Saccharomyces cerevisiae S288C: one gene and its partners. The protein of the gene in region 3 interacts with the protein of the main gene of each other region in a pairwise test. Each region holds a gene or a part of one and is shown on either strand. Other genes may lie near its edges.

Evidence for each region. The genes of interacting proteins can lie anywhere in the genome.
Region 1: the proteins of ARR3 (region 3) and ENA2 interact in a protein complementation assay, tested with the Saccharomyces cerevisiae proteins (one large-scale study listed by BioGRID).
Region 2: the proteins of ARR3 (region 3) and ERP2 interact in a protein complementation assay, tested with the Saccharomyces cerevisiae proteins (one large-scale study listed by BioGRID).

Annotation. Positions count from the first base shown.
Region 1 is NC_001136.10:530,807-536,524, forward strand, and holds ENA2 (Na(+)-exporting P-type ATPase ENA2), read right to left. Parts: upstream 3,777-5,718; coding exon 501-3,776; downstream 1-500. Other genes in the region: Na(+)/Li(+)-exporting P-type ATPase ENA1, read right to left, coding at 4,386-5,718. UniProt on the Saccharomyces cerevisiae protein: Catalyzes the hydrolysis of ATP coupled with the export of sodium and potassium from the cell. May export potassium less efficiently. May transport other cations such as lithium.
Region 2 is NC_001133.9:137,198-140,002, reverse strand, and holds ERP2 (Erp2p), read left to right. Parts: upstream 1-1,657; coding exon 1,658-2,305; downstream 2,306-2,805. Other genes in the region: Hsp70 family ATPase SSA1, read left to right, coding at 1-500; FUN14 (Fun14p), read right to left, coding at 2,493-2,805. UniProt on the Saccharomyces cerevisiae protein: Involved in vesicular protein trafficking.
Region 3 is NC_001148.4:937,354-942,576, reverse strand, and holds ARR3 (Arr3p), read right to left. Parts: upstream 2,656-5,223; coding exon 1,441-2,655; downstream 1-1,440. Other genes in the region: ARR2 (Arr2p), read left to right, coding at 2,906-3,298; ARR1 (Arr1p), read left to right, coding at 3,545-4,429.

The DNA.
Region 1 (5,718 bases), on a different chromosome or scaffold from region 3:
TGTAAAGGATGAAGGAAAATAAAATTCTTTCCTCTTTCTTTGCCTCGAGAGATAATATGGAGATTTAAAGAAGAAAACATCAGCCTCACAATTACACCGCGCGGTGATATAAGGATTTTGATAAAAGAATATATGTGAGTTGAATTTGAACGTCCTGGAAGGAAAAGTCTTGACGAAATAAACGCATTAATTTTCTAATTCTACAAGAATTTAACTAATCCTGTATTGAAATTCATAATTTTAGTTAAGAACCCTGTCATACGCGTAACGTAACTGTATCTGTTTCATGATTTACAACGGCAGCAATAAGAGTATAGCAGTAGTATTCCTCTAAGACATATTTGAACTAGAAAACATACTATTTAGGCTTGTTTATGTTCAGAACCTGTGAAAAGTTCGTTTATAGTAAATAAAAAAACAAATAACAAAATAAATGTAAATATCTAAATATATGAAATGAATAAGGAAAAAGATAGGGAGCACTTAATAGGCCCTGCCTATCATTGTTTAATACCAATATTAACTTCTGTATGGATTGTAGTAGAAGTACTATACGCTTCGAATGGATCGCGCTTATTGTTACTCTCCAAATCATTCTCCGGGTTGTGCGCTCTCTGAGTTTTGAAATAGCGCCTCTTTCCACACTTGTAAAGTTCAGCACCTATCCAGAATGCAATTGTGAATGCAATGGCGAGACCCCATTCAGCACCAATTGGTTTATGCAAAAACACTTTATCATTAATAACCGGAATATAGACGACGGGGAAGGCTGACACAAATCCAAAAATGATTGACCAGAACAAAAACTGGTTTCCCCAAATACTTCTGAAAAATTCCTTGACTGGGCTGTCAGTGTCTGGATGCATTCTGAAAAAGGATCTTCTCATGTCAACCACTTCCCAAGCCAGAATCAAAGCGCACCACGTCATGGTTGCGAAAGCCGCAGAACGTGATCTATAAACATCACGACAACTGCTGTTATAGGTGCCATCACAATCGTGCCCCAATCTACCACTATTTATTCCATACAGTGATCCAGTAAATGAAGCCATACAGGACCCTGTCATTATAATCCCATATGCAAATGTATCTATAATAACCTCCCACGTGAAAATACCAACCTCTGAATCATGAGGAGGTCTATCCATCAAATCTGGAGCAGCCTTTTCTAGACCTAGCCCCATAGCAGGAAAACAAGAGGTGACGACAATAATCCACAATACTTCCACTGGTGATAAGGGAAATACTGATTTTCCGTTCTCATCTCTGAATACTAAACCAATGATCAAATACAAAGCCTGAGCAACATTTTCTGCCAATAATTGTAGGACAAACTTCTGAATGTTATCCGTCATCCTACGACCTTCTTCGACAGCATTCAAAATAGAAGCAAAATTGTCATCGCTTAGAACAATATCAGACGCTTCTTTGGAAACATCTGAACCATTAATACCCATTGCAATACCAACATTGGCCATTTTTAGAGATGGAGAATCGTTAACACCGTCACCTGTCATTGCGCAGAACTTCTTCCTACGGTGTAAAGCTTCGATCATTCTCACCTTAGTCTGCGGAGAGCAACGTGCAATAACTAAAGGTAAGACGGGCAAATCGTCCACTTCCTCCTCACTTAGTCCGTCAAACTGAGATCCGGTCATGACCATACTGTCAACAATCTCTTGGGAGTAATGGTACAAATTGGTGGGTAAGATGCCAACCTCCTGAGCGATAGCCTTTGCTGTACCCACAAAGTCCCCAGTTAACATATGAACGTTAATACCAGCTTGGTGAAACTTCTTGACTGCACCGGCAGTCTCATTTCTGGGTGGATCGTAAATACCAATCAACCCTAGGAAAACTAAATCACTTTCTGCGGTGGCCCTGTTTGAAGTAATGTTTTTCAATTGATCGTCATTCACTTGATCTTTAGTGAAAGATTTGGAGGCAAAACCCAAGACTCTTAAACCCTCATTTGATAGACTGTAAACATTTTTCCTTATCGTTTCGACATCACAATCGGTCAATGGTGTGATTTTTACACCATCCTTACCATACCAAGAACTGCAACAACTGATGATGCTTTCGAAAGCACCCTTGCCATAAATATTATATGTTTCGTTGTGATTGTTGTAGTAGACAGATGACATTCGCTTCACAGTTGAGTCGAATGGGAATTCAGCAATATGTTCGAATTGTGCACTGCCAGGCTTCTCATTGTGTTGTGAAAGAGAGGATTGGTCATTCTCATTACTTTGATTAGTCGATTTCTCACCGGTAAGGGCATTGTGAGGCAAGTCCATCTTAGTAGCAAACACTTGAATCGCAATTTCTGTTGGGTCACCATGAGCTTTCCAACAGTCAGTTGCGTCATCTTTGAAAACAGTAGCAATGTTAGCCAAAGTGGCGGTTTCGAGCCATTTTTGAAATAGATCCATGTCAATATCTTCTGGTAAATCTTTTTCGTATAGGCGATCCTTGAAATTCTGGAGAATACCAACGTCACCATCCTCATTATGAGAATATTCGTAAGGTGAAAACCTTGGAATCAAACTCACGTTGCCCTCATTGGGATTAAAGGGGTCATCAGAATTCGAGATAGTTATGGTACCAAAGCGAGGGATCCAAATTTGCCTCGCTAACATTTTACCCTGTGTAAGAGTACCGGTCTTGTCAGAACAGATATCGTTAACGGCACCTAAAGCTTCCAGAGAATCTAATTTTCTTACAATAACGTTTCTAGAAACCATAACAGCAGCCCCAACAGACATGGTGATGGTCAAGACAACGACTAATGAAGAGGGAATCATGGATAGGGCCACACAAATGGCATAGATAGCTACCCTTTTATCTACGTCAAACTTTTGAGAGGCCATGACGATGATAGCAAAAAGTACGGCAATCCAGAAAAGCAATACCGCCAACTTAGACAGTTTCCTGTGCAGGGGCGTACCGACATTTGTACCTAAAAATGCACCAGTAACTTTCTTTGTAGATATCCATGTATTCTGTAACCACGACTTACTAGGATCGCGGGAAATGAGACCTGAATCACCTTGTAGAGATTTTGCAATTTTACCAATTTCACTATTCAAAGCTGTCTTGATGACAATACCCTTGGCTCTTCCCTTGACAACGGCGGATGAAGAAAATGCTAAATTCAAACGATCACCCACGGAGGTTTCTTCTTCTTTTCCAAACACTAAGTTGGCGTCTTTGGAGACAGGCAAAGATTCACCGGTCAGTAGTGATTCATCAGTATCAAAATTCTTAGTTTCAATTAAACGCAAATCAGCAGGAATAGTATCACCGACCTTCACCAGACAAATATCACCTGGAACCACATCTTTTGAGTTTATAGTCTCACTTTTCCCGTTCCTAATAACATGAGCATTGGGAGAGCTCAAGTTTTTCAAAGAGTTCATTGTCTTGGTAGCCTTATATTCTTGAACTAGGCCAATGAGCACATTGACCGCGATAACAAAAGAAATAACGCCACCAGTAATCCAGTCGCGCACAGCGAAAGAGATCGCCATGGATATTACCAAGACCATAATCATTGCATTACATACCTGATGGAGGACCATTGCTTTATAGTCAATTTTGGTATCATCACCCAATGTGTTCTCTCCCACTGCTTTCAGTCTGCGGAGGGACTCATCTTGAGTAAGACCTTCAGTCAGACTTGTGCCTATAAATTCAGCGGCTTCTTCTGTAGTCAATGTGTGATAAGCATTGAATTCTTCATTATTGTTTTCTTTGACAGTTCCCTCGCTCATCGAAAATTTTCAATTATGTGTACAAAGATTTTTCCTCAGTGAGTACATACGTTATCTGATAAGCAAAATACGAATATGAATAACGTTGATTTGGTTAACGTATTCTCGATGTAAAGGATGAAGGAAAATAAAATTCTTTCCTCTTTCTTTGCCTCGAGAGATAATATGGAGATTTAAAGAAGAAAACATCAGCCTCACAATTACACCGCGCGGTGATATAAGGATTTTGATAAAAGAATATATGTGAGTTGAATTTGAACGTCCTGGAAGGAAAAGTCTTGACGAAATAAACGCATTAATTTTCTAATTCTACAAGAATTTAACTAATCCTGTATTGAAATTCATAATTTTAGTTAAGAACCCTGTCATACGCGTAACGTAACTGTATCTGTTTCATGATTTACAACGGCAGCAATAAGAGTATAGCAGTAGTATTCCTCTAAGACATATTTGAACTAGAAAACATACTATTTAGGCTTGTTTATGTTCAGAACCTGTGAAAAGTTCGTTTATAGTAAATAAAAAAACAAATAACAAAATAAATGTAAATATCTAAATATATGAAATGAATAAGGAAAAAGATAGGGAGCACTTAATAGGCCCTGCCTATCATTGTTTAATACCAATATTAACTTCTGTATGGATTGTAGTAGAAGTACTATACGCTTCGAATGGATCGCGCTTATTGTTACTCTCCAAATCATTCTCCGGGTTGTGCGCTCTCTGAGTTTTGAAATAGCGCCTCTTTCCACACTTGTAAAGTTCAGCACCTATCCAGAATGCAATTGTGAATGCAATGGCGAGACCCCATTCAGCACCAATTGGTTTATGCAAAAACACTTTATCATTAATAACCGGAATATAGACGACGGGGAAGGCTGACACAAATCCAAAAATGATTGACCAGAACAAAAACTGGTTTCCCCAAATGCTTCTGAAAAATTCCTTGACTGGGCTGTCAGTGTCTGGATGCATTCTGAAAAAGGATCTTCTCATGTCAACCACTTCCCAAGCCAGAATCAAAGCGCACCACGTCATGGTTGCGAAAGCCGCAGAACGTGATCTATAAACATCACGACAACTGCTGTTATAGGTGCCATCACAATCGTGCCCCAATCTACCACTATTTATTCCATACAGTGATCCAGTAAATGAAGCCATACAGGACCCTGTCATTATAATCCCATATGCAAATGTATCTATAATAACCTCCCACGTGAAAATACCAACCTCTGAATCATGAGGAGGTCTATCCATCAAATCTGGAGCAGCCTTTTCTAGACCTAGCCCCATAGCAGGAAAACAAGAGGTGACGACAATAATCCACAATACTTCCACTGGTGATAAGGGAAATACTGATTTTCCGTTCTCATCTCTGAATACTAAACCAATGATCAAATACAAAGCCTGAGCAACATTTTCTGCCAATAATTGTAGGACAAACTTCTGAATGTTATCCGTCATCCTACGACCTTCTTCGACAGCATTCAAAATAGAAGCAAAATTGTCATCGCTTAGAACAATATCAGACGCTTCTTTGGAAACATCTGAACCATTAATACCCATTGCAATACCAACATTGGCCATTTTTAGAGATGGAGAATCGTTAACACCGTCACCTGTCATTGTGCAGAACTTCTTCCTACGGTGTAAAGCTTCGATCATTCTCACCTTAGTCTGCGGAGAGCAACGTGCAATAACTAAAGGTAAGACGGGCAAATCGTCCACTTCCTCCTCACTTAGTCCGTCAAACTGAGATCCGGTCATGACCATACTGTCAACAATCTCTTGGGAGTAATGGTACAAATTGGTGGGTAAGATGCCAACCTCCTGAGCGATAGCCTTTGCTGTACCCACAAAGTCCCCAGTTAACATATGAACGTTAATACCAGCTTGGTGAAACTTCTTGACTGCACCGGCAGTCTCATTTCTGGGTGGATCG
Region 2 (2,805 bases), on a different chromosome or scaffold from region 3:
TCGACTCTAACGGTATTTTGAATGTTTCCGCCGTCGAAAAGGGTACTGGTAAGTCTAACAAGATCACTATTACCAACGACAAGGGTAGATTGTCCAAGGAAGATATCGAAAAGATGGTTGCTGAAGCCGAAAAATTCAAGGAAGAAGATGAAAAGGAATCTCAAAGAATTGCTTCCAAGAACCAATTGGAATCCATTGCTTACTCTTTGAAGAACACCATTTCTGAAGCTGGTGACAAATTGGAACAAGCTGACAAGGACACCGTCACCAAGAAGGCTGAAGAGACTATTTCTTGGTTAGACAGCAACACCACTGCCAGCAAGGAAGAATTCGATGACAAGTTGAAGGAGTTGCAAGACATTGCCAACCCAATCATGTCTAAGTTGTACCAAGCTGGTGGTGCTCCAGGTGGCGCTGCAGGTGGTGCTCCAGGCGGTTTCCCAGGTGGTGCTCCTCCAGCTCCAGAGGCTGAAGGTCCAACCGTTGAAGAAGTTGATTAAGCCAATTGGTGCGGCAATTGATAATAACGAAAATGTCTTTTAATGATCTGGGTATAATGAGGAATTTTCCGAACGTTTTTACTTTATATATATATATACATGTAACATATATTCTATACGCTATAGAGAAAGGAAATTTTTCAATTAAAAAAAAAATAGAGAAAGAGTTTCACTTCTTGATTATCGCTAACACTAATGGTTGAAGTACTGCTACTTTAATTTTATAGATAGGCAAAAAAAAATTATTCGGGGCGAGCTGGGAATTGAACCCAGGGCCTCTCGCATGCTTTGTCTTCCTGTTTAATCAGGAAGTCGCCCAAAGCGAGAATCATACCACTAGACCACACGCCCGTACTAATTGATGTCTTCCTTTTCGGATAGATGTATATATATACAAATTGGTCAGATTGCTTTTGGCTCCCTTTCGTACGTAACTCATTTAGACTACGGATCACTAGCACTATCTCACCAAGTTTTTAAAAGATCCACTGTGATCATTAAAGATTCTATTTCAAATAAAAATCAATTATCATCTATCGACTAGTTTTCATGGTACTAGTATATTATCATGTACAGTGTGAGGGCTCGACATGAAGATTGAGAAGACAGTCATCGTTTTCAATGGAAGCTGAAATACAAGCACTGAATAAAAAGAGATAACAATATTTTAATGTCGTGATATTGGTTCCCTTCTGCTGGTCTTCGAGGAAAATTTCTGGTATGTTTTGTGTATCTAATATTATATAGCCTTAAATCACTACCTATTTTTCAGATCCGCCAAGGAAGCCACTCTGTGAACTTTAAATAATATTACAAATTGCTACAGCATCTCGAATTCAAGTGTTTTCAGACTTATTTATTTAATTCAAGAAAATGTTCATAAACTTTCATAAAGCAATCCTCAATCCTCTTAGCGCTAATGTTCACTGCACCTTACATGATGGCGTTTGGTTATATTTCAATCCTTTTCAGCGACGTGTCCCGAAACACGAAAAAGTACATTCTGCCAAAACTTGAACTAGTTAAAATGAAAAACTAACAAAATCTCCAGTGATTTCGATTCATTAACCTTAGGGATCGACACCGCCAATTCTGCATCAGGTGACCCAAACTAGAATAAGATAAACAGTGGAGTACACTCATTGTAAAGGAAAACCATGATCAAATCTACAATTGCTCTACCCTCTTTCTTCATTGTTTTAATTTTGGCGTTGGTCAATTCAGTGGCTGCATCTTCCAGTTATGCACCAGTTGCTATCAGTTTACCAGCATTCAGCAAAGAATGCCTGTACTACGATATGGTTACTGAGGATGATTCCCTGGCTGTGGGTTACCAAGTTCTAACCGGTGGTAATTTTGAGATTGATTTTGATATTACTGCTCCTGATGGATCTGTGATTACTAGTGAGAAACAAAAGAAGTACTCAGACTTTTTATTAAAATCGTTTGGAGTGGGGAAGTATACCTTTTGTTTTTCCAATAACTATGGTACAGCGTTGAAAAAGGTAGAAATTACACTAGAAAAGGAAAAAACTTTGACTGACGAGCATGAAGCTGATGTCAATAACGATGACATTATTGCCAATAACGCCGTGGAGGAAATAGATAGAAACTTGAACAAAATCACGAAGACTTTGAACTATTTGAGAGCCAGAGAATGGAGAAACATGTCTACCGTCAATTCCACCGAATCAAGGTTGACTTGGTTATCTATATTGATTATCATTATCATTGCCGTTATAAGTATTGCCCAAGTTCTACTTATTCAATTCCTCTTCACTGGTCGTCAAAAAAATTACGTTTAAGAACTTTTCAATCTACGAAAAATATATGTCCGCAATATAGAACACAATTAGGTTTATATTCGACGTGATTTTTTTTTCTTCCTTAGCCCTATGTATATTTACTGTATAGGATAAATGAAATACCAAAAATAAAAAAGTATAAAACGAAAGAATATAACCCTCGTTTATATCTGGTCATTTGTCTTGCTCATTTGTTAGCATTTAAACTTGCTAATACGAAACTCAATGTAAAGAATACTTTAAAACCCATGTATTCTGTACCCAATAACCCATCAATAAGCAGTTTCTTCAAGTCTACATCTTTCAAAACAATTACAGATTTGATATTTTTCAAATTAATGCGAATCCATCCCTTGTACCGTAACCATTCACAAAGAAGCATGCTTGTAATACCGACATACATAAACAAAATTGATATCTTAGCCACCGTAACTCCTAAAACAACACCGAATAATGATCCCAAAAACATCTGCTTGTGACTACTTATTTTGTTCCTCCTT
Region 3 (5,223 bases):
CATGATTATCCACATTTTAATATCTACATCTCATTTTGCGGTTCCAAATATTGTATAACTGCACCATATACTAACCACTCAATTTATACACACTTATGTCAATATAACCACAAAATCACCACCAAAATCACCTAAACATAAAAATTAACCATTCATTAATGAGAAGATATAAACATACTAAATATTAACATAATTGAAATATCGTAAACATAACACCCTATTCATTAAATTGTCTATTACTTGTGCCATTTACCCATAACATTCATGATCATCCACATTTTAATTTTCTAAAATTGATCACAGAACCTCCATTATCATATCAATACTCTCAACTTCATGCTTTATAACGTTTTCATACAAATTAACCACTATAAGGTATCATAGCTATTTGCATTCTCATCACCTTTCAGTGAATTCCAATTTAATAGCAGAATATACTCGCGCAGCTGCTATGGTGCGTTTTTAATCTCTCCCCACCTTGGTATTCTATAATTATGCATACATGGTCTTGTGGTATCTTTGATATCGAATAGTTTATGCTTGCAATTTCAGCCTAATAATGGCGACATAAGACGTGTCCTCATGTCGCTATTCAAACGCAACTACAAGATCTTCTTACTCCCTATACTCATTCCCGGTGCCACTATATAACACCACTATGCTATACTATAATAGCAATACACATTAACGCAGATGCTATAATATCTTTACTTCATCTCACCAACTCAACTGATAATCATACAGACAGTACTATACAATACAGTCATTTACTAAAACGAATGCCGCTCCATGATATCCCAAACTTATACTGGCACCATTTTGAAACATTATATGTCACCTCTTCATCCTAATGACTTCAACTTCATGCATTATAAAATGGCAGCTACACGTACTTATGCGGGTACTACGACATAAGCTTATCTTGTCCTATTTCGTTACGTTAATTTTAATTAGACACTAGATGCACGAATTCCATTTTTATGCGAATGATCTATGAAGCCATTGTTGTACCATCACCATGTGCTATTCCATCGGGCTTACAATACTTGGGTTTAAAGCATTACTAATCTTGCAGGAAAATCTCAAAAATGACATACAATACGCAATAATAATTTTTCAGCGAGTTTCTAATTCAAAGACATTGTATTTAGAAGTGATGTACGTAACACAGTTTGCCACTTGAGTTCATTAGACTTTCAAAAATGCAATAGTAAGATTACGTCCCCTTCTTACTGAACTCCAAAACTGTGCGGAGTTTTTGAATGATGCGGGATGGCGTGAACAAACCCATTTTTTCATCCTAACCATCACTAAGATCAATCAGTTGTCCTTCAAAAAAAATTGTCAATTTTATCTGTTTTTAGGGTGAACTTGGATTAATATAGAGTTATAAGTGGTATTATTCATTGGTGCCCAAGTAATTTTTTGGTGAGTCAACAATTAATTTCTATTGTTCCATATATAATATGGTTTAAGGATCCTCGCGACTATTGCCAAAATCAATAAAATTGGAACTTCTAGCAACGGCCCAAATGTTGCAGCTATTGCTTGCTTGCTATTGTTACCATATAAGGAAATAGCAATTGCCAGGGATAGTTCAAAATTATTTGAAGCCATAGTGAAACATTGCGTCATCGTAATAGAAAAGCTAGCTTCACAAGACTTTCTTCCCCAGACCCTCTTTAAAAGTAGTTCTTGGTCACAGCTACATTCTCTTTGTGTATCACTCCTAGATATTGATAAGTACCTCATTAATGCGAAGGTCAAAAACCATGCAATAAAGAAGTAAAGCACCAATGGGACAAAGCACAATATTGCAGAACCAATTTCGTGGATAAATTGATAACCTCTACTAATAAAAATAACAAATAAAGTGTAATGAAATCCGATCATTGCCCATGGAGAAATAAATCTCAAAATGTATTTTTCATAATTACTTTTACCAGCTATGGTAAGACTTCCCAAACGTATGATAATGCCAATTCCCAGTGGTATGCCGAGAAAAACTCCGACAGACTTTGCAACCTCTTCGAATAATACCCTATTTGAAGTATTCAGGTGGTCATGAGAAATAACATAACAGTAAAATATCTGCAATGGTGCATATAATACCATCTGTAAAAGCGAGTTTGTAATAACAAGCACGACGCAGAGATCATTGTCTCCTCCAGCAATCTGATTCCAAATTAGCACCATGGCAATGCATCTAGCTACTCCGATCATAATAATGCCTTGACGGTATTCCTTATAATCGAATAGCGCCATCCACGCCAATGCTGTCATCAACAAAGGACCGATGACCCAATTCAAAAATAACGAGAGGGCTAGTTGCTTCCTTATATAGCTCCTGTAGAAGTACTTGTGAATAGACTCCCAGGAAACTTTGCAGATCGGGGGAATCATCATTACAATCATACCAACAGTCAAAGGAATGGACACTCCCATTAGATTGGGATGACCTTCAGCGTCAAAAGTGTGACGGGAAGAAGGCACATAGACAGAAATTATTACTGCAATGATTATGGAGAGAATTATAGTAAATGGCAACATCAAGTCAAGCCATGACAATGACTTGATCGTAGTCAGTATATCGGTGCGATTCACCATATTAACCTTAGAAGGTACCGAATTTTCACTTTTTTGATCTTCTGACATTATTCTACTAACCTGATGATTTGTTGGTTGGGTTCTCTTGAATTACAACGAGAGCATTCATTTATATTCTTTTCCGTTTACATTATAATTATGTAAGGAGCGTTGCCGCTAAAGTTGATTATTAATCAAACAAAAAGATAATTAAGAGCATTCAAAATTTGATTTTAAATCAACACTTTTGAAAAGTCGGTATAAAAACTAATGTATAACAAACTAATATTGAGGAAAACTTGACAATCCAGCAAGCGTAATGGTAAGTTTCATAACGTCTAGGCAACTCAAGGGCCTAATTGAAAATCAGAGGAAGGATTTTCAAGTTGTTGATCTTCGAAGAGAAGATTTTGCACGTGATCATATTACAAACGCTTGGCATGTTCCAGTAACAGCACAGATTACAGAGAAGCAACTGAATCAATTAATTAAAGGTTTATCCGATACTTTCTCAAGTTCTCAATTCGTCAAAGTGATATTTCATTGTACTGGGTCCAAGAATAGGGGACCAAAAGTAGCTGCTAAATTCGAAACCTACTTACAAGAAGAAGATATTACAAGTAAGTTTGAGAGTTGCATCCTCGTTGGAGGTTTTTACGCTTGGGAGACCCATTGTAGAGAGAGTAACCTTAAATTGATTGTTAGTGGTTGAGCTCCTCAAGCTTTATTGTTCCAGCATTAATGTAAAAGTCTTTTCAATATTTTATGTACGGCAAAACTTTTTAATTCCATTTTTTTTTTTTTTTTCGTTTCTTTTCTTATTAAATTAAATATAATTATAATTATAATATTCCTATCTTTACAAAATCATATTAGTATATAATTCTAGCATGCGGATGGTCTTTAAGGAGCGGCCGTTGAAAAAACATGTCAAAACGGAAGATAAGTGACCAAGATAATGGCAAAACCGCGTGGAAGAAAAGGCGGCAGGAAGCCTTCACTTACTCCACCTAAAAATAAGAGAGCTGCGCAACTTAGAGCATCCCAAAACGCATTTAGAAAACGAAAGTTGGAAAGATTAGAAGAACTAGAGAAGAAAGAAGCTCAGCTAACGGTAACAAATGATCAAATTCACATATTAAAGAAGGAAAATGAACTTCTCCATTTTATGTTGAGGAGTCTTTTGACTGAGAGGAACATGCCTTCTGATGAACGGAACATTAGTAAGGCCTGTTGTGAAGAAAAACCGCCCACATGTAACACTCTCGATGGTAGTGTGGTTCTTTCCTCCACATATAATTCCCTTGAAATACAACAATGCTACGTATTTTTCAAGCAACTGCTCTCAGTGTGTGTTGGAAAGAATTGTACAGTGCCGTCACCGTTGAATTCCTTTGATCGGTCCTTCTATCCCATAGGCTGTACGAATCTCTCAAATGACATACCAGGCTATTCTTTTCTAAATGATGCAATGAGTGAGATTCATACGTTTGGTGACTTTAATGGGGAACTTGATAGTACCTTTTTGGAGTTTAGTGGGACTGAAATAAAGGAGCCAAATAATTTCATTACTGAAAACACTAATGCAATAGAAACAGCGGCAGCGAGCATGGTGATTAGGCAGGGTTTCCATCCAAGACAGTATTATACAGTGGATGCTTTTGGAGGGGACGTCCTATTAAGTGCGATGGATATTTGGAGTTTTATGAAAGTGCATCCAAAGGTTAACACATTTGACCTTGAAATTTTGGGAACAGAACTTAAGAAAAGTGCTACGTGTTCTAATTTTGATATTTTAATTAGCCTCAAGCATTTCATTAAGGTCTTTTCGTCAAAATTATAATATTCTTCCTGTAAGCACAGCGCAACATTGTCTTTCTTATTGTTAATATATAAGTTAAAAGCCGAATTTTTCATTTATTTATATAGATGGCGTGAAGATTATTACGGTCAGATACCTTCGCCTATTTATGTACTTGCATGCGTTTAGATTTTATTGGAAAAAGTATTAATTTATCGTCTATCGACTAGTATTCACGTTACTAGTATATTCTGTATAGTTAATGATAGAGCCTTTATTTAAAATGGAAGTCCAATAACTATTTCAAAATCAAATTATATGTCAAAGATGTTCAACAAATTGGGAAGGCAAGAGGCGAGCACTAGGCCTGATACCCTTCTTAATGCCTTGACATACACGTGTCTATTTCTTTTTTCTTGTCGAGGTATTGAGGTATTGACCAATGCTGAATGCTTGATAATGTAATTAGGGATCGCGTACGACAAGTTTCAGCAATTGTTAGGGTGTTATTTTCATTGTTCCCGATTATGAGCACAATATGGCGGTCTTGTACTAGGATAACTTGGGCGTATGTTTCACTATACTAGAACCATGATTTTATCAGTGTAGAACAAATGCTGAAACTTTGATTCAAATACAAACATTTACTAAAACACTGTAATACGATCGATGTGGAGTATTCGATGAATATTTTTCATGTTTACGTTTATATAATTCCTTTCCAAACGCTTTTCGTCGATTAACTTGGAATTCTTCATAACATTGATTGGAACCCTTAGTTATCCATTCACCATGGAAAAGGTTTGAGAAAACTTTTTATAACTTTGTTGTAAACA